Callithrix jacchus: one gene and its partners. The protein of the gene in region 2 purifies or fractionates together with the protein of the main gene of each other region. This does not show direct contact. Links are inferred from orthologs where the notes say so. Each region holds a gene or a part of one and is shown on either strand. Other genes may lie near its edges. The genes, in order: VPS13C, VAPB, RMDN3, ACBD5, TTC1, MIGA2 and OSBPL9.

Evidence for each region.
Region 1: the proteins of VAPB (region 2) and VPS13C purify together in Homo sapiens (co-immunoprecipitation; 3 studies listed by BioGRID and IntAct, counting the BioPlex papers as one, with this or other methods). This does not show direct contact. The link is inferred for Callithrix jacchus from reciprocal best matches to the Homo sapiens genes VAPB and VPS13C.
Region 3: the proteins of VAPB (region 2) and RMDN3 purify together in Homo sapiens (affinity purification with mass spectrometry; 4 studies listed by BioGRID and IntAct, counting the BioPlex papers as one, with this or other methods). This does not show direct contact. The link is inferred for Callithrix jacchus from reciprocal best matches to the Homo sapiens genes VAPB and RMDN3.
Region 4: the proteins of VAPB (region 2) and ACBD5 purify together in Homo sapiens (affinity purification with mass spectrometry; 4 studies listed by BioGRID and IntAct, counting the BioPlex papers as one, with this or other methods). This does not show direct contact. The link is inferred for Callithrix jacchus from reciprocal best matches to the Homo sapiens genes VAPB and ACBD5.
Region 5: the proteins of VAPB (region 2) and TTC1 purify together in Homo sapiens (affinity purification with mass spectrometry; 4 studies listed by BioGRID and IntAct, counting the BioPlex papers as one, with this or other methods). This does not show direct contact. The link is inferred for Callithrix jacchus from reciprocal best matches to the Homo sapiens genes VAPB and TTC1.
Region 6: the proteins of VAPB (region 2) and MIGA2 purify together in Homo sapiens (affinity purification with mass spectrometry; 3 studies listed by BioGRID and IntAct, counting the BioPlex papers as one, with this or other methods). This does not show direct contact. The link is inferred for Callithrix jacchus from reciprocal best matches to the Homo sapiens genes VAPB and MIGA2.
Region 7: the proteins of VAPB (region 2) and OSBPL9 purify together in Homo sapiens (affinity purification with mass spectrometry; 7 studies listed by BioGRID and IntAct, counting the BioPlex papers as one, with this or other methods). This does not show direct contact. The link is inferred for Callithrix jacchus from reciprocal best matches to the Homo sapiens genes VAPB and OSBPL9.

Annotation. Positions count from the first base shown.
Region 1 is NC_133509.1:8,786,673-8,790,172, forward strand, and holds part of VPS13C (intermembrane lipid transfer protein VPS13C), read right to left. Parts: intron 2,726-3,500; coding exon 2,633-2,725; intron 264-2,632; coding exon 1-263. UniProt on the Homo sapiens protein: Mediates the transfer of lipids between membranes at organelle contact sites. Necessary for proper mitochondrial function and maintenance of mitochondrial transmembrane potential.
Region 2 is NC_133506.1:54,024,950-54,028,449, reverse strand, and holds part of VAPB (vesicle-associated membrane protein-associated protein B/C), read right to left. Parts: intron 2,460-3,500; coding exon 2,379-2,459; intron 498-2,378; coding exon 321-497; intron 1-320. UniProt on the Homo sapiens protein: Endoplasmic reticulum (ER)-anchored protein that mediates the formation of contact sites between the ER and endosomes via interaction with FFAT motif-containing proteins such as STARD3 or WDR44.
Region 3 is NC_133509.1:45,816,674-45,820,751, reverse strand, and holds the start of RMDN3 (regulator of microtubule dynamics protein 3), read right to left. Parts: upstream 2,801-4,078; 5' UTR 2,745-2,800; intron 2,330-2,744; 5' UTR 2,323-2,329; coding exon 2,136-2,322; intron 1-2,135.
Region 4 is NC_133508.1:27,282,064-27,285,563, reverse strand, and holds part of ACBD5 (acyl-CoA-binding domain-containing protein 5), read right to left. Parts: intron 1,522-3,500; coding exon 1,401-1,521; intron 1-1,400. UniProt on the Homo sapiens protein: Acyl-CoA binding protein which acts as the peroxisome receptor for pexophagy but is dispensable for aggrephagy and nonselective autophagy. Binds medium- and long-chain acyl-CoA esters.
Region 5 is NC_133503.1:22,816,581-22,820,544, forward strand, and holds the start of TTC1 (tetratricopeptide repeat protein 1), read left to right. Parts: upstream 1-1,164; 5' UTR 1,165-1,216; exon of another isoform or gene 1,217-1,219; intron 1,220-2,605; 5' UTR 2,606-2,634; coding exon 2,635-2,964; intron 2,965-3,964.
Region 6 is NC_133502.1:177,645,688-177,648,579, reverse strand, and holds the end of MIGA2 (mitoguardin 2), read right to left. Parts: intron 2,660-2,892; coding exon 2,543-2,659; intron 2,270-2,542; coding exon 2,063-2,269; 3' UTR 501-2,062; downstream 1-500. UniProt on the Homo sapiens protein: Regulator of mitochondrial fusion: acts by forming homo- and heterodimers at the mitochondrial outer membrane and facilitating the formation of PLD6/MitoPLD dimers. May act by regulating phospholipid metabolism via PLD6/MitoPLD.
Region 7 is NC_133508.1:88,545,038-88,549,017, reverse strand, and holds the start of OSBPL9 (oxysterol-binding protein-related protein 9), read right to left. Parts: upstream 2,801-3,980; 5' UTR 2,776-2,800; coding exon 2,611-2,775; intron 1-2,610. UniProt on the Homo sapiens protein: Interacts with OSBPL11 to function as lipid transfer proteins.

The DNA of each region.
Region 1 (3,500 bases), on a different chromosome or scaffold from region 2:
AGGCCACATTCTAAGGTAACCTGAACTGATTCTACAAGAACAGCACAATTTTCCTCTATCAATGAATGTTCGATGTCTCTGAAACTTTCCGTTACTTCTGTTGCCACATCAACACCAAGAAACCAAGTGTTATAATCATTAATCGATTTGACACCCCAAAGATTTTCCATTTCCTTAGCTGTATCTTTGGACTCATCTTCTTTCGTTTTTGGAGACAGTGCAGCCATGATTGTCATCACAGTATTAAGAATTATGGGTGAAATCTTTAAAAAAAAAAAGCAGAAAAATATTTAGGCTAAATTCTTTCCCAGATGACAATATATGCATACATGATTTTTTAAATTAAAAAGTAACTAATTTAAATTTTAAATAATTTCATAACCAAGGAAAACAAGAGAGAACACAAAATTATGTGTCAAGTCAACTAACTGGAATTAAGCAACTAACGTCGCCTGTCAGTAGTCAAAATCTAGAGTTAAACTGAGCAGTTCAGACCAAAACAGTGTGATGTGAATAGACAAGTATAGAAATGTAAACAAATTCTTCATTTTAAAATCAGCTGCATTAACTAAACCAAAGTGTGTGATCCTTGTCAAGACACACATAAATATCGTGACACAACAAGATCTTAAAAAAATAAAAGAAGATATGCATTTGCTTCCGTCCGCCTTAATAAAACTGGAAGACTGGAACTCATAGCTGTCCTTTGACTCACCCCAAGATCTGCAGATCCTACCTCTTGCTGTCTTTGGATAGTGCCTTTCTTCGCTCACTTCCCTCATTTTCTATTATTGTAACTTGAGGTCTACACTGCTGATGCCTTCTCTGTCCAACACTCTCTCCGCCAACCCTCCACAACGCCACCAGCATACTTCTACAACCCAAATCTGAGCATGTCATTCTTATGCTTAAAATCTTCATCAACTTTCCATAACTTTTTTAACCCACAGGATAAAATTCAAACTCTCTTTAGCTTAATGTGCAATGCTCTTTGTGGCCTAGTGCCTATCCAACCAGCTAGCCAGAAATTCCCCAGAAATACTAGGTTAAATAAGTTAACTGTATTCCTTTATTACTCTCTCCTACAATCCTTACTTAAAATGTAAAGAGATACAATTACATCAACAAAAGCAGGATCTAGTGTGCACTGCTTTCCTAATGTACTTGTCAACTTTTTTCCTTGTCTTATTAACGTCACTTATTTAATGCTTCCGGTCTTACAACTCCACCACACCATTCTCTCCAGCCATATGGGACCACCCCCCCCAAGTCTTAAAAGGATTTTTTCATACCTCTGCCTTTGTGCATATTATCAATTCTGTCTGGATAAACCTTTCCATGCTCTCCATCTATTTAATCTCCATTAGACTTTCAAAACTCAGATCAAATAGTCCTTCTTTTACACAGCTTTCCCTGATGTTCTGGTCTGAATGAAAGGCCCCATGTCTTTGCTCCCAACTGAACCTTGTCCATGCCTTTAGCACTGAGAGCTATGATCACTGATTTCTTTCTTTCTCCCACATGTCAGTAAGTTTTTTGACAGCAGGGGCTACGAATTCCCAATGCCTTGTAAAGGACATTTTTTTATACATTTGAGTAAACATTTTGAGTAAAAGCTCAAAAATGTTTGTTGAATAAGTCAATAAATTTATGTACAAAGAATGTAGAGTCTTCACAGCACCTAACCTAATGTCTTAAGAGAAAATACAAGAAAATTCAAGAAGTTTTTCCCCCATTTACTATTTTATATATTTTTTAAAGTAAATCCATTAACAATATACATTCTAAGACTATTCGGTATTTTAAAATGTTGAGAAAAAAATAAATTAATATTTACATGGTACTTCAAATGAAATGAGTTTCAGCCTTAGTTCAACCACTGTTGGTCACGGACATATGTAAGTAAAGCCACTACCATTACTGGCATTAACCAATTAAGCAAAAATTAAGCAATTAACCAAAAAAGGACTCATTTTTGTATCCTTTGTGTAAACAGAGAAACAGATTGCAGAAAGTATTCTATATCTTCTATTTGTGACTGGGCACGAGGTCAGACTAAAGAATCTAAATGCCACTGGAAAACAATTATTTCAATGGCACTGAAAACAATTAATGTTTCTCAATACTTTAAATGTAGAGTAAAAAGCAGTAAACTGTAATAATTATTTGTACTGTGCAGGTGTCATTATAAATATTTGAAGCCAAATAAAAAATTTGATCATATAGTTATTAAATTCAATCAACTTATATATCAAATAATGCCTAAAAATGACTTATTACAAATAAAGTAATAACAACCTCTTCTCTCCATCCTTTCTTCCCTTATCTTCCCTCCCACCCCATGTCTCTTTCCTCATCCAACTCAACCTCCCTAACACATACATGTAAATATAATAGAAAAAACTACCCTGATCATTTGTAGATAGTAAAAAGTACTCTTTTAAAGAAAATAGAAGCAAACATTTGCGTTAAAGAAAAATACACTTTAGTGTTAGAAATTACTTATTACTGAATATGACTAGCACAGTGCTTGAGTTATGAGAGACATCAAAAGATACTGTCTCAACTGCAAAATACGCAATGCTGTGAGAAAAATAAGAATTTTCACTCAAAGAATATGGTAAGTACTAACCTTAATTATAAATTCTTTAACCTTGATATTTATATTTTGTTTTCCTGAAGCCCACATACATTTTTCCATAAATAAAGAACAGGGCTGCAAGACCTATAAACAGATAAATGAAGTTCACATTTCCATAGATCCATTACATACGTAACACACACTTACAAGAACCATGTCTTACTTAACTTGGGATGTTTAACTACAGCCTGCTATTATTCTAAAAGCAAAAAGGCAAAACTAAATTAGCTAAGAATCTCTTTTGAAGATGCTTCTGAACTATGAGAAGTCTGCACACGTTGGTAAAGTACTTTAAGCAGTTCTGATGAATTTCATCACACCAAATCTTTAAGTAATAATGCACATTTAGTACATTTAAAATGTTTCTTTCTGCTATAATAGTTTTTAAATGATGTCCTCTATGAAATATACCTTTGAAATATCTATAAAAGTGAGCTAAAGACTATGGTAAGATAGGTAAATAAACAGTTTCCAGATGATTAACAGGTCAGTTTGAAACATTATAAATGGCCCTTACTGCAATAAAAGTCAAATCTTCAAATTGTGAGGTCTATATTCTTATATACCATTAAAGAAATGAATGAATAAGCTTGTACCTGAACTGAATGAAGCAATTAGTATTGCATAATTGCCATTACTTAAAAAATAGGATGAGGCCAGGTATGGTAGTGCACACCTGTTATCCCAGCACTTTGGGAGGCCAAGGTAGGAGAATTGCTTGAGGCCAGGAGTTCAAGACCAGCCTGGGCAATATAGCAAGACCCCTTCTCTACAAAAAAATTAATTTTAAAAAAATGAGCCAAGTAATAGTCCTAACTACTTAGGAGGTTGAGGCAGGAGGATTATTTGAGCCCAGTAG
Region 2 (3,500 bases):
CTATTTTGGTCTCAACATTTATTTTCAATTTACACTAATGGAGAGTGTGAGATTTTTGTTTTTTTTTTTTAAAGGGGACAAGGGCTTAAACAGTTGAGAACTGCTGATCAAGGGACAGTGGCTCTTAATTTAGGCAGATCCAAGGACCCTTTTGAGAATCTGATGAAAGCTATGGAAATTTCTTCCCGGGGAGAAAAAAGATAGACAAATGCCAAAAGCAAAAATAAATCTATATATTTACTGGTTCATCAACTTCCTCATCCAAGATCCTAGTGAAAACGCCCTTGTTCTCTGTAGCTTACCAGAAAATAAACTATTACCTTGAACTGCTTGTTCTCCTCCCGTAGCCTCTGAACTTCACCTTGCAGCCTCTTACATTCTTCCATAACCTTCTTAACTTCGGCGTCATCCAAAGAAGAACTCAGAGACTTAGACACTGTTGGTGTTTCTGTCTTTGATGCAGTTGTGGATATAATTTTATTTATTTCTACATCATGCTGTTAAAAAATAAATGAAAGCCTAAGTGTCACCAACCATGTAATAAAGGAGACTTTTTTATGCAAAGTAGTTCTCAGCAAACACCAAATGTAGTAGCATTTTATCCACATTGTAAAATGTCACATTTACTTTTCAAATGGATCACTTTATCTAGTATCTTAATAATCTAAAGCAACTGGGCTCTAGAAATTATGGATAAGAGAAAATAATGAAGTTCGGCTGAGACTAATACTTCAAAGAAAGAGAAAAGGGGCTGTGTATGTTGCACTATCAAATTCCTGTCATGCAAAACTTAGCATACTGTAATTGTGCAAGCTCAGGAATTATTAGCCACAAATTACTGTCACCATAAAGATGTGAACATCCCTAAGATTGCCTTGGTGGGGATAGGAGGCTTGGGAGAGCATTTACGCCGAGGGCGATTTATTTTACCAACTTAGCATTTGGAAGCTGGGATGAAGATGAAACAAGCTCAGTGTCTGCAGTGTTTCAATCTTGAGAAGCTACATACTCCCCTCATGTCCCCTGCCAAGACTGAGCTATGAGCCCCTTCTTGAGATTTACTGGGATGAGAGCCAGTCAGTAGAGGGAGGGCATGGGAACATGAAATTTGTCAGGGAAAGAGTAACTAAGGATCACTGACCTGGGTAGCAAACTGAAAACCAGGAATCTAGCTCTACCCATCATTTTCCAGATGAGAAGAGTGGGCCCTGTAAGGCAAGGTCCCAGGCTACAGAGTCAACCTATCACAGAGCTGAGGCCAGAATACAGGTTTCACAACTTCCAAACTGACCTTCCTGTGACAGGCTGTACACTGGGAAGAGGGAAAAATGACCACTTAAAGAAACAGGGTAATGATAGTGGTAAGTGACTGAGCAGAAAGAAAATACCAGGTAGTTTGACACAAATCAACAACATCCCTGCAGATCAACATGGATGATGTTAACAGAACGTTTTGGGACACTGCTATTCCCAACTCCAGCTATTAACCTCTAGGGTAGTTTCATATGCTGCATGTTTTCAGTTTTGGTGTTTTTATGACAATTAAAATGTTTCTGACTATGCTGAAGGGAAGCCCAAATGAGCATTTCAGTTACAGTCTCCTTTCTTCAACTGGTCACAAGTGAGGACCATGAAAGAGACCATGAGCAGACAGCCTAGAGGATGGGGCTCCTGCCTTCTCCCAGGTAGGCAACACAGGAGTGGGATCATTCTCAATGGGGGGTTGATATTGACCTCCAGGACACGTGTGGTAACATCTGGAGACATTTTTAGCTGTCACAACTTGGGAGTACTACCGGTACCCAAAGGGCAGAAGCCAGGGATGCTGCTATTATTAAGAGACCTTGCAGTACACAGGGCAACCTCCAACACCAAGAATTATCCACCCCAACTGTCAACAGTGCTGAGATTGATCCTCACCTAAAAACAATCTTTGACTGAAGACATAGATAGGGTAAAAGGGGTAGGGAGGCTGACAAGGCACTCTGTAGAACAAGAGAACCTGAGAGCTTCCCACCTGTCTATCAAGCACCATAATAAAGGGCAAATTATTCCCTGTTTGACTTCACCCACTGTTTAACAGCAACCTATACCTTTGCCGGGCCACAAAAGCTCTTTGGGATTTATGACATCGCAATGGACATTGGGCTGCACTTTTCAAGGGGAAACACTGCGTCAATCAGTTGTCTTTCTGCGAGTTTTTCAAAGGTTGATTTCCTAAAGGCCCACTTATTTGTTGACTTCAGCTTATTTTTTTCTTCAGACATCAGAGAAAGGAAAATAATTTGCCAACTTAAATCTTGTTTTTTGCAGGAGATGGTATGCAAATAAGTATCAGCTTGCAACATTCAATTATTGTTAACTATAAACATACTTACTGGTTTATCATTCTCTGCTGGCAATTCAAACACACATCTAAGTTTTGAATCCATAAGGTCTTCTGGTTTTGCCTCCTTCCACTAAAACAATTTAAATTTAATAATCAAGATATTATAAAGCTGCTAGAAGAATAATTTTCTTCCTATGACAATTTCAGAAAAATACTCTTAATGAGAAAACCCCAATGTATATCAAATAAAGAACTAAAGTCTGCTGAGATTTCAATATTTGTAACATGACAAGAGTAAATACACTTGCCTTCTTGAATATTTATTACACTTCACAAACCCTGAAGACTTGCTGCCTGACTCCTCAAAGTCAACCAACGCTCCCCATGTTGCTACTCTGTGGGAGAGGCCAACCACTGAACTGAAAGGAATCCTCTAAATAATGTCTGGCTGACCACAGGTAACCTTAGTTCTCCATATGAAAATACAACTTATTTTAGATTGGGCATGGTGGCTTATGCCTCTAATCCCAGCACTCTGAGAGGCTGAGGTGGGAGGACTGAGGACTGATTGAGCCCAGCAGTTTGAGACCAGTCTGGGCAACGTACGGAGATGCCGTCTCTACAAAAAAATTAAAACATTAGCTAAGCATGGTGGCACATGCCTGTGGTCCCAGCTACTCAGGAGGCTGAGGTGGGAGGATTGCTTGGGCCCAGGAGGTAGAGGCTGCAGTGAGCCAGGATCATACCACTGTACTCCAGACCAGACAACATTGAGAGACTCTGTCTCAAAAATAATAAATAAAATTTAAATGCATATCCTTCTTAGAAAGTGTAAGCACATACTATCTGAGAGTGGTTTTAGAACCACTCTGCCAACCTCCAACAAAACGCAATCATTACCAAATTCCTCCTCTGACACTGTGGCAGTGTCTGGGCTGTATCTACCCCAAGGCCCATCTCCACCTCTCCAGGCTGTAGTGAGAGCATCTTCCTAGCTAAATTCCATGTTCTAAGAGGATGTGCTCCTGATTACTTCTCCTCTTGGCAGCAGAGGATGGGAATTTCAGGGTATTCTAGGATTATAGACCAGCATAGCAGCAAGGTTATGATACAGAAAAAGAAGGCAATTCCCACCCTCCGTGCCTCCAACCCTTCCCAAAACTATGCAAGA
Region 3 (4,078 bases), on a different chromosome or scaffold from region 2:
ACAGCAAAACTAAAATGGAGCTCCCTCAAATTCTGATCTCTCACTTCACAAAGAATAGCAGGGAAAACCTGGAGCTTCTCCCAGAACTTAGTAACTGCCCCCCACTAAGAGAAAGGGGCCAGTTGCTAAAAGAAAAGGTATACCAGAAAAAGCCCATTCAAACCATCTCATAAAGACACCATTACTAAGCCCCATGGACCCAACCCTAAATCTCACTCTGAGTAAATTCCAGCAGTGAAATGCTACCAAAGTGAGAGCCACCTATGGTAACTGGACTGGAAAACACAAAAACAAGAAAGAAACCAGAGAGGCAGGATCCACATACATCAAGCAAAATCCCTTCTTAAAGGAAATCTGGTAAACTAGGCCAGGCCACAACACACAGCCAATAATGTTCAAGAATGCAGAGCAAGAAAGAATCCTGTGAATGTGGCCACTCTCTTCTCATCTCGGAAGACTATAGCTGGGCAATTGCAAACAAACGACAAGGAAACGGAAGGAAGCACACTTGCAATACTAGATTATCACCAGGTTAGAAAATGCTGCTAATCAATTGCAATCTAAGGTGATAGCTCGTTGAGACTCTTCCAAACTACCTTTTCCAAACAAGCTAACATTGGTAATCAGAGAAAACACTCATTTCCAATTAGCATGGGGGTGAGATAATCTAAACACTCCCCCGGCCAGGCCCGGTGGCCCACACTTGTAATCCCAGCACTTTGGGAGGCCAAGGCCAGTGCATCACTTCAGGTCAGGAGTTTGAGACCAGCCTCGCCAATATGGCGAAATCCATCTTTACTAAAAATACAAAAATCAGCTGGGCATGGTGATGCATGCCTGTGATCCCAGCTACTTGGGAGGCTGAGGCAGGAGAATCGCTTGAACCTGGGAGGTGGAGGTTGTAGTGAGCCAAGATCATGCCACTGCACTCCAGCCTGGGCAACAGAGCGAGAGACTGTCTCAAAAAACAGAAAAAGAAAAAAGAAACACTCCTCTCAAACAAAGACGGTAGTAGTGTGAACCAGCCCTAGATACTTTGCTCAAACAAGGAAAGTTCTGCAAATCTGAAAGAACTACTCATTTCAGCTCTGCAGGCTGCCAGCCACACTCAGCTTCAACTTCATGACGCGTGCTCCTAGCCCTATGCCGTACAAAGTCCACTGGACCAGGTGACCAAGCCCAACCTTTCCACTTAATCTGTGACCGCCTCAGGAAAGTTACACAATCTTTTTGAATCTCGGTTTCCTCATAGGACAGATAAAAAAAAAAAAAACTTGAATGAGATAGTTTCCAAGTTGCCTTCAAATTCTAATATACGATTTAATACATAAGCCTCAAGACTTTTAATTCCTACAAGACTCTTTTTGCCCTCTTTTGGACTCTTCCTCTACTTACTACACACCTCACACAACACTAATCAAGTGCCTTTAATATCCGCATAGCACTATTGTGGCCAGAACTAAAAGTGAAAGCTAAGCAGACTTTTTGAAATATATTTTCTTGGTAATAGAGGGGAAAAAGTACAGAAAACGACGACTGCCTTTTCTTTTTTGAGACTGAGTCCCACTCTATCGCCCAGGCCGGAGTGCAGTGGTGCAATCTGCAGGCTCAATTATCACCAGGTTAGAAAATGCTGACAATCAACTGCAATCTAAGGTGATTGCTCGTTGAGACTTCCAAACTACCGTTTCCAAACAAGAGTCCCACTCTATCGCCCAGGCCGGAGTGCAGTGGTGCAATCTGCTCATCGCAACCTCCGCCTACCGGGTTCGAGCAATTCTCGTGCCTAAGCCTCGCCAGTAGCTAGGATGACAGGCCATGCCACCACGCCCGCTCATTTTCGTATTTTTAGTAAAGACAGGATTTCACCATGTTGAAATCTGGTTGAATGTTAGCCAGGCTGGTCTCGAACTCCTGACCTCAGGTGATCCGCCCGCCTCGACCTCCCAAAGTGATGGGATTACAGCGGTGAGCCACCGCGCCCAGCCTGACGACTGATTTTTCAACAAGCTTCCAGAACAGTGAAACCCTAAGGCACCTCCCTCCGTTGCCCAGTCCCACGGCCTCCACCAAAAGCAGCCCGGACCCCAGGCCCATTAGTCTGCAGTGACTGCGGTCTCGGGATGGGCTCCTACCCTGGCGTCCGGGCTCTAAAGTGTGCGTATAGTCCAGGGAGTTGGGCAGGCTCTGGTTGCGGCCACGGCGCCGGGTCCGTTTCCATCGCTTGCTGTAAAGGACGCACAGGAATCCAAGGCCGGCGGCGGTACCCAGCAACAGTCCCAGCCCGGCACGGACACCGCCCAGGGCCCCCAGTCTAGACATGCTGTACCTGCGGCCCGCAGAAGCCACCGGGAGCAGGCAGGCAGGCAGGCGCCCAGGTGGGCGGGCAGGGGTAGGAAGAGAGAGATTCGTGAGCCTGGCAAAGCCTCCCCCAGGCCGAACCCCAGCAGACATCCCCTTGCCCAAACCCTGAGCTCCCGACTCCCTGCACCCCAGTGTGAACCCTAAAGCTTCCTCCAGCCCCCAGGGCCCCACTGCCGCTCCCCTCACCCAACCTGGACGTAACAGCCGCTTCAGCATACCCCTCGACCCGGCTCAGAGTCCGGCTCCTGGGCCTTCGACCCCCACCTCGGCCTCACGACACTGCAGACCACAAACCCGCCGCCCTAGCTGCAAACTCCTGGTATTCCCCCGCAGCCCCCGAAGGAGCTCTGGCCTGGCAAGAGATCAATTCAGACCCTTACCCGGCAGCCAGCAACCATGGCAGCAGCCGCCGCGGACTCACGCTATCCGTGACTGTGACGTCAGGCAGACGGCGCCAGCATCTAGACGCGCCGCGGGAAGGCGCAGGGAGATGACAATAACGACCCCGCCTCCTTTCCCCTAGGGGCGGGGCGATGAGTGACGCCAGAGGGGCGGAGTCAGCACAGAGCGCGAAAGGGAAGAGGAAAGGGGCAGAAGGCTTGGGAAAAGCGGGAAAGCAGGAGACTTCTTGGTTGGACGCTCACGCAGTCACCATCGGTGTCCGGCAGCCAGAGCTGCAGTTCCCTCCGGTCACACCGGCTTACTTGCTGCTCCCGGAATACGCTCAGCATATTCACACTTTCTACCTGTGCTTCTGCCTGGACCTCCCCTTCTGGAAAACGTCACCCTCTCCCCACATTTTATTTTTATTTTGTAGAGACTGGGTCCTGGTATCCCGGTCTCAAGCGATCCGCCCGCCTTGGCCTCTCAAAGTGCTTGAGCCACCGCACCCGGCCATAAATCTTAAACATAACGTGCCATCTAATAATTCCATTTTACTCTTGTATGCGACTTCTTAGAATGTTGGCAACTAAAAACGCCGATTTTATGAACTGTGATAACAATTTTATTGTGAACATTTCTTCAGTTTAGTGAAAGAAGAAATATCTAGGCCAGTCCTCCCAATACACTTGACTAGATCTTATGTTTATTTACCCTTTAATTGTGAGACACTGTATACATACAAGAATGCAGGAGGCCTGCGGTTGTGGCATGTGATTAGTCCCAGATACTCTAGGGGCTGGGGTGGGAGGATCACTTGAGCCCAGGGGGTAGAGGCTGCAGTGAACCATGAACACCCTCGGCTCTGGGCAACAGAGTGAGACCCCTGTCTCTCTCTCATTTATTTATTTATTTTTTTTGGGACGGAGTCTTGCTTTGTCACCCGGGCTGGAGTGCAGTGTGGCGCAATCTCAGCTCACTGCAACCTCCGCCGGGTCCCGGGTTCAAACGATTCTCCTGCCTTAGCCTCCAAAGTAGCTGGGACTACAGGCGCCCGCCATTATGTCCAGCTAATTTTTTAAATTTATTTTTATTTTTAGTAGAGATGAGGTTTCACCATGTTGGCCAGGCTGGTCTCGAACTCCTGACCTCGTGATTCGCCCATCTCGGCCTCCCAAAGTGCCAGGATTACAGGCGTTAGCCACTGCACCTGGTGAGACCCTGTCTCTTAATTAATTAAAAAAAAATACATTTAAAGTATACATACATTGTTAAGAAGCACTGTAAAATACTGAGGTACCCACGTCACAGTTTAAGGAATAAAACTTCACCG
Region 4 (3,500 bases), on a different chromosome or scaffold from region 2:
AGAAACGTTTGAACCTGGGAGGTAGAGGCTGCAGTGAGCCAAAACAGCACCACTGCACTCCAGCCTGGGCAACATAGACAAACCCCATGTCTAGAAAAAATTTTTAGAAATTAGCCAGGTGTGGTGACACATGTGTGTAGTCCCAGCTACTAGGGAGGTTGAGGTGGGAGGATTGTTTGAGCCCAGGAGGCAGAGGTTGCAGTGAGCCGTGATCGTGCCACTGCACTCCAGCCTGAGTGATGGGAGTGAGACCCTGTGTCCAAAAAACTAGTGTGGGTGTTAAAACATGCTTTACCAATTTACATATTCTGTTCATAATGTACAGTCTAAAAGACTTTTGTCAGACATTTGTTAAGGCTTCAACTGCATTAAGAATATCAACTGTTAGTCAACTGGGAAAACAGCACAGGTACAGGTATTTGTGTCTATAATTCTTTTAATTTATAGTTTATAATTCTTTTTTTTTTTAAGATGGGGTTTCACCATGATGGCCAGGCTGGTCTTGAACTCCTGACCTCAGGTGACCCACCCACCTCAGCCTCCCAAAGTGCTAGGATTACAGGCATGAGCCACCTCGCCCAGCTTATAATTCTTTTAAGTATACTTTTTAGTTTATAATTCTTTTAAGTATTCAAAAAATCAAATTTCTATTCAAGTATAGTAGGTTAGAAGTAACAGCTTACATAAAAAGTTAGCATGGCAGTACCCGAGTCATATTACTAGCTATTTACTCTTTTAAACGCTCAATACAAACAAGCAAAAGCCATTATTTTTCTTGGCAGGTAAAAGAGGCAGTGAAATTTGTTTCTTTAACTTAGGTTGGGAGTTGCTCTTGGCTTGAAAAAAAAAGGGGGGGAAACTCCATAAAAATAAAGATTGACTGAAATGTTTCTTACCTTGGATGCACCTATCCCATTTGGTTTTATTGTTTTCCTCTCCTCCCAGGATTTTCCTGTTTGTGTAAAACTGTATTAAGAACACCTGGAGAGGCTGGGCATGGCAACTCACTCCTATCTATCATCCCAGCACTTTAGGAGACTGAAGCCAGTGATCACTTGAGGCCAGGAGTTCCAGACCAGCCTAGCCAACATAGCGAAACCCTGTCTCTACTAAAAATGCAAAAATTAGCTGGGCATGGTAGCAAGCCCGTAATCCCAGCTACTCGGGAAGCTGAGGCAGGAGAATCGCTTGAAGCCAAGAGGCAGAGATTGCAGTGAGCCGAAATCCTGCCACCGCACTCCCTCCTGGGCGACAAAAAAAAAGAAAAAAACCTGGAGGATAAAAATTGTACCTAATACCTAGGACATTTTCTGCACATAATAATATATAACCACTTAAGTAGTAACCATATGTTAATTACATCATTAAAATTTAAATTCTTGCTCTACACAAAAAATTACCATTTATATCTTCCAATAGGATCCCAGAATCCAGGCCTTGAAAGTTTACAGGGTCCTTCAGTTGCCTGCTTATAGAAGCTATAAAATTTAAGCATCATTTCATTTGTTGGCTGGAATGAACCTGTTGTAAACACACAATATAAAACATTATATATAGATCATCTGGGGAATACAACAGATAATCTAAGGTTATAAATTACCTTAGCTATACTAATAGTGATTTTATATTTCATTAATACTTTAGATAATGATTGATTTCTATCTTATAGAAACAAAAATTATGGCTCTGTTAGTTGCTTGCTTCTTTGATTTCAAAACACTCTGAGATTTTAGATTTTAATAGCAATGGCTAAGATGGTTCAATAAATAAAAGAATAAATGAAGAGATATGCTGTAGATATAACCAGAATAACCAGCTAATAATGTCTCTTTAAAAATATACTAAAATATAGAATAACTATTATTATGCAACCATTGAAAAAAGAGTATTTTTATTCAAAATTTATGACAAACCAAAACTGACTAGCATAAGTGAAAAAGTTACATGTATACCCTGCCAAATTTCAAATTATCAGTATATAAGGAATTTGGGGCTAAAGCCAAATAGTATATACTATGGTAGAAAAATAATTAATCCAAGATAAAATAGATTTTTCACTCCTACCTCTGTAATTTTAGAAATATCAATTTCTTTGAGAATAATTCTTCATATATGTTTCTAGCATATCCATAACTTTTTACATGTTTAAAATTTTCAAATTGGTCAGGTGTGGTGGCTCACTCCTGTAATCGAAACACTTTGTGAGGCTGAGGTGGGCAGATCACCTGACCCCAGGAGGTCAAGGCCAGCCTGGGCAACATAGCAAAACCCTGTCTCTACAAAAAAAAAAAAAAAAAAAATTCGCTGGGTGTGATAGCACACCCTGTAGTCCTAGCTACTCAGGGGGCTAAGCGGGGAGGATCTCCTGAGCCTGGGAGGTCAAGGCTGCAGTGAGCTGTGATCACGCCACTGCACTACAGCCTAGGTGACAGAAAAAGACCCTGTCTCAAAAAAAAAAAAAAATTCAAATTGTATAAGCAAGTGCTATAAGTTGCAATATTCTCAATAATTGAAAAATTGGAATGTTAATGTTTTATAGGAAATAACTGTTTAAATAATTATGATATTAACTATAAAAGCATAATTTATAACTGTGGCCCTAAAAAGTTATATTGTAGAAAAATATAAATAATAGTATAAGTTCCATGATCTACTATACATTAAAAAAAAATAAGTTTAAAAACAACGTATATGACATATCTTTGCAAAATATTTATATACATAAAAAGTACAGTAGAAAGATAAACATCAAAATGTTTAAAGACTATCTCTGGATAGTAAGTATACAGATTATTTTCCTTTTCATCTATTTTTTAAAAGTTTTTTTTTTTTAATTTAAGTGATCTTCAGAGATACTGGAAATCAATAAAAAGGTTTTAAACATCAGTGTATATTATAACAAAATTATAAAAATAAAAATTGTAACAAGATATTTTTTAAAGTTTGCAAATTGAATAACCTAGCAGTTTATAAGATCTGTGGGATGGGAGCAGTGGCTCACACCTGTAATCTTAGCACTTTGGGAGGCCCAGGTGGGTGGATCACCTGAAGTGAAGTGATCCTCATCAGAAGTTCAAGACGAGGCTGGCCAACATGGTGAAACCCCATCTCTACTAAAATACAAAAAACTTTTCAAGACGAGGCTGGCCAACATGGTGAAACCCCATCTCTACTAAAATACAAAAAACTAGTAGGGCATGATGTCAGGTGCCTGTAATCAGCTACTCGGGAGGCTGAGAAGGGAGAACTGATTGAACCTGGGAGACAGTAGTTGCAGTGAGCCAAGATTGCTCCACTGCTGTAGCCTGGGCAGCTGAGCAAGACTCCATTTCAAAAAAAAAAAAGCTGTGGAAATTACCACACAGCTGGTGTTTCCAGTTTGGCCAAGCGTTTATGATTAATTCTCAAATCACAATAATAATTATCTGTATAATATGTGTACATTTAGGAATACCTAATAGGTACAGTATTTTAATGATACAATCCTTTATACAGCAGAG
Region 5 (3,964 bases), on a different chromosome or scaffold from region 2:
AGTCTCAAACTCCTGCCCTCAAGATATCCTCCCATCTCCATCTTCCCAAGTGCTAGGATTACAGACATGAGCCACCACACTCAGCCTCCCTTTACACTTTTTAAATTCTGGGTGTATTTCTAAAAATTCAGAAATATTAAAACCTAAAATCTGATATATTGTTGATGTTTTAGTACATAAAGTTTTCAACTTACAATAAATACAACTGTGTGCATAACCTAATTTAGATGTAAATTCAAAAAATAAGTTTCATACTCTTCCTGAAAGGCTCTTCTAGCTATCTATCTCTGAAATAGGGTCTGTGAATTACAGAAAATTATCTGCTGTCATGGCTGGTTACTGTCTGGCTACCCTGAAGATGGGTACTATATTTCAATTCTGTGATCCCAGCACAATGCCCAGGGTCTAATAATATTCAATGAACATTTCTCGAACGACCATATAGGGCAACCACTTCCGGTCTCAGCATTCCCTTACACTCAAAATTATTGAGGTTAGTCTGAGTGCAGTGGTGTTTACAACTAACTGATCACAACCACTTACAGATCTTTTTTATTTCTTCTCCGTTCTCACTGCTTCAGTTGGCTAGCCATTAAAAAATAAAAATGGGCCGGGCGCGGTGGCTCATGCCTATAATCCCAGCACTTTGGGAGGCCAAGGAGGACGGATTTCTTCAGTTCAGAAGTTCAAGACCAGCTTGAGTAACATAGTAAAACTCCATCTGTAATAAAAATACAAAAAATTAGCCGGAAATGGTGGCGCGCACCTGAGGTCCCAGCTACTAGGGAGGCTGAGGCAAGAAAATCTCTTGAACTCCGGAAGTTGAGGCTGCAGTGAGTCGAGGCTGTAATTGCGCCATTGCACTCTAGCCTGGGCGACAGACCGAGACTCTGTCTCATAAATAAATAAAGAAGAAAGAAAGAAAGAGTGAAACCAACACCACAGGGATAGACTTCTTTTTGTCCTTTTTTTCCCTCTTGTGCAGAGTAACGCGTAGTCTTGCCATAACCCAAGATGGCAACTTTCTCTCAAATGTCACTCCGTATAACGACGTCATACAGCGACAGTGCCTTTCCTCCCTGAGAATTTCCACTACATTTCCCAGGATGCTTTGCCAATAGCGACACCATTAGTCGTCATAGACGGAAGTGCACCTGACTGAGCGGAAGTAGAAGGTCTCGGAGGCTAAGAAGGTGGAGACCGGAGAAGCTGAAAGGTTGTGAGTAACCCCGTGGGTCTAAGCGTCTTGGCTGCTAGGAACGAAGTTAGGGAATAATCTTCTGGGAAGCGCGAGGCGTCACTTTGCTAATCCTAGGAGTTCAGACTCCTGCGTTCTTCTAGTAGACCTGGGAACAAAGAGAAACAAGACATTGCTGTGGAGGCTAAGTCTCCGTATTAACATCTTGCTGGTTTTTAAGTTTTCTTGGAACAAATTAGGGCGAATTCGGACTCCTATCGTGACACAAGGGTCGTTGGCTTGGTTTCGCTGCCACTAGAGCAATTTACATTTTTGCATATCTCTAGCTGCTGATGGTCTGACTCAGCTTCTACAGCAGTGGCTCGCAATTGGCTGCATATTAGAATCACCTGGGATGCTTAAAAAAAAAAAAAAAAAACTGATGCTCTTGCTTGACGCCACACTAATAAATCAGAGTCTGGTCAGGTTCTGAGCAGTGGTATTTTCTAAAGCATCTCTAATGATCTTTTTGGCTGCTGAGGTTCACAGTCACTCTTTTTAATGCCTGACTCTGACCCTGATTAGAGTCACCTGCGCCAGGGCTCTCCTTCCACTGTAAGCTGCTTGGGCTCTACCACACGCATTTGGGTTAAAGTGAACACGATTTTGGCACGGATATTATTTTGAGGTCCACTAGAAACGTATTCTTGGGCTTCCTGCGGTGGTGCTAAAAAGACGGATCGTAATTTCTTACTCATGCCTTGGTTATTCATTCTGAATGGAGATTAGATCTGCTTCCTTTTCCTTGTCACTGTTTTAGTTTCTGCCTAATTTTTGCCATCCAAACAGAACGCGAACAGTGGAACATGGAAGAGTCACATTAAAAACGGCTTCTTTTGTTGCTTATAAGAAGTTCAGGGTCAGGCTCGGTGGCTCACGCCTGTAATCCCAGCACTTTGGGAGGCCGAGGCGGGTGGATCACGAGGTCAGGAGTTCAAGACCAGCCTGGCCAAGATAGTGAAACCCTCTCTCTACTAAAACTACAAAAATTAGCCAGGCACGGTGGCAGTTGCCTATAATCCCAACTACTCGGGAGGCAGGAGAATCGCTTGAACCGAGGCAGCAGAGGTTGCAGTGAGCTGAGATCAGGCCACTACACTCCAGCGTGGGTGAGGGAGTGAGACTATGTCTCAAAAAAAAAAAAAAGAAGTTCTGGTACCAGATTTGACCAGGAAAAGGGTGTCAGTTAAAATGACGTTTGACATTATTATTACTTACAATAAGCTATATTTTTAAATAATGAATTCCAGTGAAATGAGGTTAGGATGTTTTTTGGCTGTGATGCAGAGGTTTGTTTAGGTTTGAAACAGAACTTTTAAAAATATGAGCACCATTACATAGCAGGTGTTTTGTTTTGTTTTCCCCCAGCTTTAGCGTTACCTCCCTCACTGGGCAGCATGGGGGAGAAGTCAGAGAACTGTAGGGTTCCAGAGGATCTGTTCAATGGTTTGAAGGTTACAGATACTCAGGAAGCTGAGTGTGCTGGCCCTCCAGTTCCTGATCCCAAAAATCAGCATTCCCAGAGTAAGCCGCTCAGGGATGATGAGGCCCATCTCCAGGAGGACCAGGGAGAAGAGGAGTGTTTTCATGACTGCAGTGCCTCATTTGAGGAGGAGGCAGGAGCAGACAAGGTTGAGAACAAATCTAATGAAGATGTGAATTCCTGTGAACTAGATGAAGAATACCTAATAGAACTGGAAAAAAACATGTCAGATGAAGAGAAACAGGTAAGTATTTTGTTTATTGTGGAAGATCTGCTACTTACACTGCATTTTAAAATAATGTGGTCAGTACTGCATCATAGACCACCTCAGTTGTGGTAAAGAATGACTTGCCCTTTGTCATCTTATTGTTTTAGTAGTGATTCATCTGAGATAAATCAGTAGCATGACAGGGAAGCACTGAGTGTGTCTGCTTAGCAAAGAAATTTTCATTTTTTTCTGTGAACCTTGAGTTCTATGTTCATCTTATACTTCAGGAGTCTGTAACATAATAGTCCTTTTGTTTCATTATTTTCAAAATGTATATATACTTTTTAGGTTTCATTTATGACCTTTTCTGTGGTTGGCTGCTGAAATTTCTGTAATGAACATTTTTATGTTTATACCACATTATATTTATGCTATATTTATGCTTATGAACATTTTCTGTTTATGCTTATCCCTTGTTAGCAAAATGGGACTGCCTGAATATCTTGGTGGAGTTTGGGTTGCAGAGGTCTTGAGGAACATAATTGTGTTTGATTATAGCTAGCTGTTGTTTGTTGAAAGCCTACAATGTGCGATCCACTGACTTAAAATGTTACTTGTGTTTTTGTTGGTTTCCACAACATGCCTATGAGATACACACTTAGCATTTCCCATAAGGAAACAGCTTAGAGTGGTGAAGTAACTAGCCCAAGATCAAACACCTAATGAATTGCAAAACTAATTCTCAAATCAAATCTGTTTGATTCCAAAGCCAGAGTATAATGGAGAATGTAATAACAAAAACATCTGTCTTTCTACAAAGCAGATAAACTAATAAAATGTACAGTCTCCTGCTTCTTTGCTCTGGGGCTACACCCTTAACTGGGCAGGCCTTCACTTTTGGAGACTGAAGTCTGCTGTCCTACTTTCTTTTGCGTGCACAAGCTAGGTAATCTGTGGAGAGTTACTGTAACATCTTGAGTTTGTCTACAAAGAACTTGAACAAGATTGTAGTTTCTGCCACTAACAAGCTTACTCA
Region 6 (2,892 bases), on a different chromosome or scaffold from region 2:
GTGGCCCAAGAGGACCTTCAAGACTGGCAATGAGCTGTGGCTGCTGGCCAGGGTGCCTCTGTTCTCCACGTGGCTTCCCCAGCAAAGGAGCCCAGGTGTCTTGTATGGCAGCAGCTACTTTCCAAGAAGCCACGTCCCAACACAGCAGAGCTCAGGCCTCTGCTAGCCAAAGCAGGTCACACAGCCAAGCCTGGCTCTGCTGTGGGAGAGGACTGGATAGGATGTGAGTCCTGAGAGGTGCAATTCTGGGAGCCTTGATTGTGACAGTCCGCCAAACAGTCCAGGCTTCCCCTTGGGGTCTTCCCAGCTCTGATCTCTGGGATTCTGAGCCTCCTGGGACATCTTGTTCTGCTCTGAGATGGGAAGTGCTCCAAGACTGATGTGGGGGGTAGGGACCAAAAGGACCCAGGAGCCAGCTTGGAGGGGCTCCCACTGGCTCTGGGCCTGCTGTGCCCCAAGAAGCACACAGCCACGCACATAACCAACATGGCAAGGTGGAAGGAGGTCGTCTCAAGTGTTTATTTGACTCACAGTCAGTGCACACACTCTACCATCCGAAGTCAGAAGCTGCGACAGTCAACTGCTACAGGCAGTGCACAGATGTGTAAACAAAGACAAATGAAAATGTCGTATCTGTTCACTGGGGAGCAAATGACGGGGCGGGGCCAAGGCCACCATTACATTCACAGCACAGGGCAAGTGCAGATGAACAGGATGTCAGGATTCAGGGTGGACGGGGGGCACAGGGTCCTTCCTGTCCAGGCAGGTTAGTGCCCAAGGATCCCGAGTCTGGGAAAGGGCTCACAGATGACGGGCCGCCCCAGCACTGTCTCCCCTCCCCTCCATGCTGCACCCTCCCACCCCCGGACCCCTTTCCCATTCGGAGGAGCAGGGCCCCGGTCGCAGGAGCCAGTCCTCTGACGCCTGAGTTTGGAAACCCAGGAGGGGAGTCTGTTTCTCCTGCAGGCCTCAACAGAATGCATTAGGGTCACAGACACCTGCTCAGGTGAAGATACTGAGAAGTGAGCCTGCCGCACTGACAGGATCCCGCGGCGTGAGGTCCTGCTAATAAAACTCTGTCTGCAGGCCCAGGGGAGGCTCTCTGCCCCCATGAGGACCTAGGAGCATTTGTGCGTTGAACTGAAGGCAAAGTGCTGAGCAGTTTCTTGTACTAATGAGGGTGGGGAAGCTGGTCCAGCCACAAACATCCTCTGACCTCCCCCAACGTGGTCCCTGGGCCCACAGGTGACAGGCCTGAGCAAATCCTGGTCAGAGTCCCCAGCTCAGAGCCTAGCACCACCCAGGGAGGTCCAGGCTCACAGAAGGGGGATGGGCAGAGGCAGGAGGACCCACCCCACCTCTGCCCGTCTTTGGTGGTGGCAAAGGTGGGAGAAGAAATGACGATCTTTGGCAGGGCAAGGGAATGTCAAAGGACAATGTCCTGGTTTGGTGCTTGGGTTTGTCCCCTCCCAGAGAGCACAGGATGGGGAGGCCCCCACACCTCTGTTCCACCTCTGGATGGCCTGAGCCTGCTGCCGACCAAGGTGGCCCTACTCTCCTCCTCTGGAGTTGCAAAGTCTCTGAGAATGTGGCCAAGATGGGGAGGCCATCAGGACAGGCCAGCCGGATGCCTGGATGCTGAGACCATGGAGCCACAGGTGGCTTCTAGCTCTGGACACTGTGACCTTCACTACAGGGCACAGAGACCCCTCCTTCACCTCTACCATCCCAGCCCCCTTGTCAGCAGCCCTGGGGTGATGAGAGCTTTTGTGGTACCTCACCTGGGGCATCCTGGCTCTGCTTATCCCAATTCTCCACAACGCCCCCCTCTCTCACTGCCTCTCTCTCCCACAGGCCCCACTGGCCACTGTCCTGGCCTCTGCTTCCCCCAGGGACTGTTCCATCCCTCTCCATGGAAATTTCCCCTCTGGGCTTTGGGGGCTCCCACATGATGGGGATGGCAAGGTCAGGGGCAACCGCCTTCAGCCACCACGGCCATCAGCCACCAACCCAGGGAAGGGAGGAAGAGCCTTTTCTCTGCTGCTTCCAGCCCACACAGCCTCTACTGCAGCTCCCCCAGGGACCCATTCTCTCGGGGCAGCGCTCCATTCAGGCCTGTGCTGCTGGTGGGGGGTACCCCAAGGTAGCCCAGCAGGATCTCGCTGCGGCGCCGGGACAGCTGCAGGATGTCGTCTGCCAGCGCGGGCACCGACGTGTAGCGCACATTGTCCAGGTCAAACATGTCCCTCAGGTACTGCACGATCTGGTGCTGCGGGAACAGGGCTAGCGTCAGGCCTGGCCCGGGCTGCTGCCCACCATGATGCCCTCCAGGTCACCCCACCCCCCTTCTCCACCACCAGAGCCCCAGCCAGTCCTCTCCACCCCCAGGCTCCTCCCTCCCGCTGCTTCCTCTGGACCCACGTGGGTCCAGCTCCGCCCTCCTTCTGGGAGCAGGCCCAGGCCCTCACCCCATTCCTGGCACCTCCCAGGGTGCCTGTGCCCAGGGCAGTGGTCAGAAAAGAACAAAAACTGCTCCGTTTACCTTGAAGAAAGCACAGACTTCAGCGAGCTGAGGCTTGGGTCCAAGGAAGCCAAAGGCTAGGACAGGGCTCACATGCTCCGATACGGAGTAGAAGTGGGAGATGAAGCCATCGGGCACCTGCAGTGGCAACAAGGCTGAGGGGCCAGGCTGGGCCCAGGTAGGATGAGGGCACCAGGCCCAGGTGTGGCATAAAGGGCCACGCTTTGGAGGTCAACTCAGCTCATGCACGTTCCTGCTGGATGGCCCTGGGCAGTGACTTGAGCTTTCAAAGCCCATTTTAACTTATGCAGATGGTAACCATGGGCCACTGTGGGAACTGCACGAGGCCGGGGTGTGGTGGCTCAGGAAGT
Region 7 (3,980 bases), on a different chromosome or scaffold from region 2:
CAGCTAAGTTTTTGTATTTTTAGTAGAGATGGAGTTTCACCATGTTGACCAGGATGGTCTCGATCTCTCGACCTCGTGATCCACCTACTTTCCCTTTTAAGTAAATACCTATCTTTTTCCCACCTTTACTGAACCTTCTCTAATTTGAGACTGGGTATCATTTTACTTTCACAAGATGGTATAACAATTGTCTGCTGTTTCTCTGTAAGCAAATACTTTAATACCAAAGAACTAGAAGAGAAAAAAAATCTTCTGAATAGCCATTAGTGAGAAATATGGCACTTCCTTCTGCTGGCAAGGATAATGTTTTATGGAATCTGGTCACAGAAAGGATAAATACTGAAGGAAAAAAATAATTTTTTTTTAAACCTGTATTTAGCTATTAAGACAGGGAGATATTTGTCCAAGTACTCAAAAACTAAAAGGGCAACAAAGCAGAAAAAGGATACATGAAAGGAAGAAAAAGAGTAGAAAGGAAGATTCTTTCTGGGCTAGGCATTCCCAAGAACCTCACCTTGGGGCCTCTCCAGTAAGGTCCTAGATTCAGATCCACACAAATCTGGGATGTGAAGAGTAACTTAATTGCATAGTGCCACTAATTGAAATCACTCTAACTTGAATAAGGTCCGTAGGATTTTCTGATTATCACATCTACTGAAACCCAGTTTGCTTTTACTTTATCTAGGCCATGGCTTTATAATTCCAGAGTTTTCAGGATATAATATTCAGTTGCCTCTCTTTCACGCCTACCTAAAGACAATCTTGAAGAATGTGTTTAAGATTTATTACGGTTTAGTCTTTTTCCCTTTAAAAACTATGTAGAGAAAGAAAGCTGACAGCTGAAGGATGATGCAAGTAATACTTTTACTTTTGCAAGCTTGCCTTTAGTAACTCACAACTTACACTTCTCCTTCCTGTAGTGAAAGTGAAGTTTAGTAGAAAAAGTCAATAATCTGGCATCTCAATTCCACCTCTTAGTGCTATGTGATGTTGAGTAAATTGTTTTAAAAGCCTGGAGCCTCAGATTTCAAAACTGTAACTGGGGATATTAAATGGAGATAATGAACTACCACCTTGCAGAATTATTAGGAATAAAATGAATTAAAGGACTCACTAAGCTAGTATATAAGCTCCAGAAGAGGAACAGTGAGTGTCTTTATTACTGTTCATTCTTGCTGGCATGAAAACGCACATACCAACTCAATTATATATATATATTTTTTACTTTGGTCTCTTTTCTTCTGCAAACCAGCTCAATAATATTTTTTAAATGAACAAATAAATTAAGTGTACCCTTTCTCTCATGAACATTAATCCTTCTTCCATAATCATATGTTTTTCTTTCTGTCTTCTATTTGTTCTAAAGCTTTCTGGGCACTATATTTTGTCCTTTTAAATGTTTTCTTCCCTCATCTCGGCTATTGTTAACTATACACCATTAAGAGAAAGTAACTTTCTAAGTAATTTATCTCCCTAATACACTCACCCTCCATATCGAATGCGATGAAGGCGGAAGGGATAGTCAAAACTTAAGATTCGAGGCCAGGCGCGGTAGCTCAGGCCTGTAATTCCAGCATTTTGGGAGGCCAAGGCGGGAGGATCACCTGAGGTAAGGAGTTCAAGACCAGCCTGGCCAACATGGTGAAACCCCGTCTCTACTAAAAGTACAAAAATTAGCTGGGTGTAGAGTGCACACCTGTGATCCCAGCTACTCGGGAGGCTGAGGTAGGAGAATCGCTTGAATCTGGGAGGGGCAATTTGTAGTGAGCCGAGAACGCGCCATTGCACTACAGCCTGGGCGACAGAGCAAGACACACACCGTCTCCAAAAAAAAAAAAAAAAAAAAAAGATTCATAACAATTTATCTACTTGTCCACGGCCACCAACTTATGTTAACAGTGAGGCCCTGAGCCCAGCCCTCCGCAGAATATAATTACAAGGGGAAACTGCACTGTCCCTTCTCTCTCTGCGCTGACAAGAGACTCTAGTGTAGGAAATCCTCGGTTCTCAAAAGTTAAAGCGTCGTTTGAGCTCTCCTCCCGCTGAATAGAGGCGTGCGTCCCTTGAATGAGACACACAACCTGAACAGACCGGAGGAATTTCGGACCCCCTGGTGTTGCCCGAGGGCCGATCACCTTTGGACCTGTACCGGCTCCTCCGGCCACTCCTCCGAGGAAGCAGAGCTCTTCAATCCCAGGAGGGAAGCTAAGGGGTGCGGCCGACTACAGGGCCTTGGTGGGACAGTATAAAGTCCATGACAACATATGAAGACGGCATGAACCACACGACTGGACCTTTTAAACCATGGCTACGACCACCCTTACCCACTCACAACCGTGCCGGACCCCACCATCGCTTAAAGAAGACCCTAAAAAAGAAACTTGGCTCACTCCCAACCCATAAATCAGACAGCTAGTTTCTATTTATTGGCTGCGCCCCTATCTCCCTCACCCTCATTGGCTATCTGAGAGGTAAAACCCTCCCCCATAAGGGAACCCTCTCGTACGGCGGCACCCCCAGACTAGCAACCTCAACTCAGCCACCTAAAACCCCGGTCCCCCAGGAAACGTGGCCCCAAAGCGCCCGAAGCTGAGCCCTCCAAGGACTCACCGTGTAATAGGAGAGCAGTCCTGCATTGTAGTCCAGCACGAACCAACGGTACTGCCAGCCCTTCATCACATTAGTCCATTTGCTCAGCGGACCTTCCATGATGGACGCCATCTTAGGAGCCGCCAATGACAACAAACGGCCTGACGTCACTCGTCTATATAGCATTCAGCAGAGGGGGGCGGGGCCTCCCGGGGCGGAGCGGGTCCTGGGCGGGTCCTGGGCGGAACCAGCGGAAGCTCCTCTGAGCAGACTAGCCGACCCACGCCCCCAGCGATCAAGTCAAACACGCTTTCTTTGGGCGCCTATTGTGTGCTGGACTCCCTGCCAGGGATGCGAGAATCCAAACGTGAATACTGCTGTTAAAATTATTTATAATCTGTCATGGTATTAGAGTAAAAAAAAAAATTATTCATGAAGAACATATTAATAAATAATTTTACTTGCCGTGATGATACATTCCACTTTCAAAAGATTTCGTATCTGATATTCATTCATGAATTCATTCCACAAATCCATTCATTTAATAAATAGTCGCTGTTTTGTGCTAGATATTCTTCTAGTCATTGGGGATACAGCAGAGCCTTCGTGACAGGTGAGGAGAATGGTAAAATAAATAGCAAATTATATCGTACATTAAAAATTCATAAATGCTATGGAGAAAAACATAAGCAAGAGGGAGCCTTGGGCCTGCTATTTTAAATTCCCAAACGGAAAGCCTGAACGAGAAGGTAACTTTTAAGCAAAGAACTGAAGAAAGTGAAGGAGGGAGCCTGGTGGAAGAGCCTTCCAAGACGAAGGAATAGCAAATGCAAAGACCAGATGTTAGGAGTCAGTGTGTCATCTTGAGGCATCAGCAAGGAGGTCAGTGTAGGTGGAGCAGTGAACCAGGGAGGAAGAGGTGAGAGACAAGGTCAGAGAAGTAGGGTTAGATCACTAACAGCCTACAAGGGCAATTTAAGTATTTATTGGCCAGTCGTAGCTTGCACCTGTAATCTCAGCACTTTGGGTGGCCAAGGCAGGCGGATCACTTGAAGTCAGGAGTTCGAGACCAGCCTGGCCAACATGGTGAAACCCCATCTCTACTAAAAATACAAAAATTATCCGGGTGTGGTGGTACATCCTATAGTCCTAGCTGAGGCACAAGAATCGCTTGAACCCAGGAAGCAGAGGTTGCAGTGAGTCGAGATTGCACCACTGCACTCCAGCCTGGGTGACAGAGTCAAATTCCATCTCAAAAAAAAAAAAAAATGAGTTATTGACCACCTACAATATCTATGCACTGTTGGAGGTCCTGGTAATACAGCAGTGAATAAGCTCAGAGCTTAAATTCTGTGATGAAAGCAATCACTAAACAAGTAAATAAGAAAAAT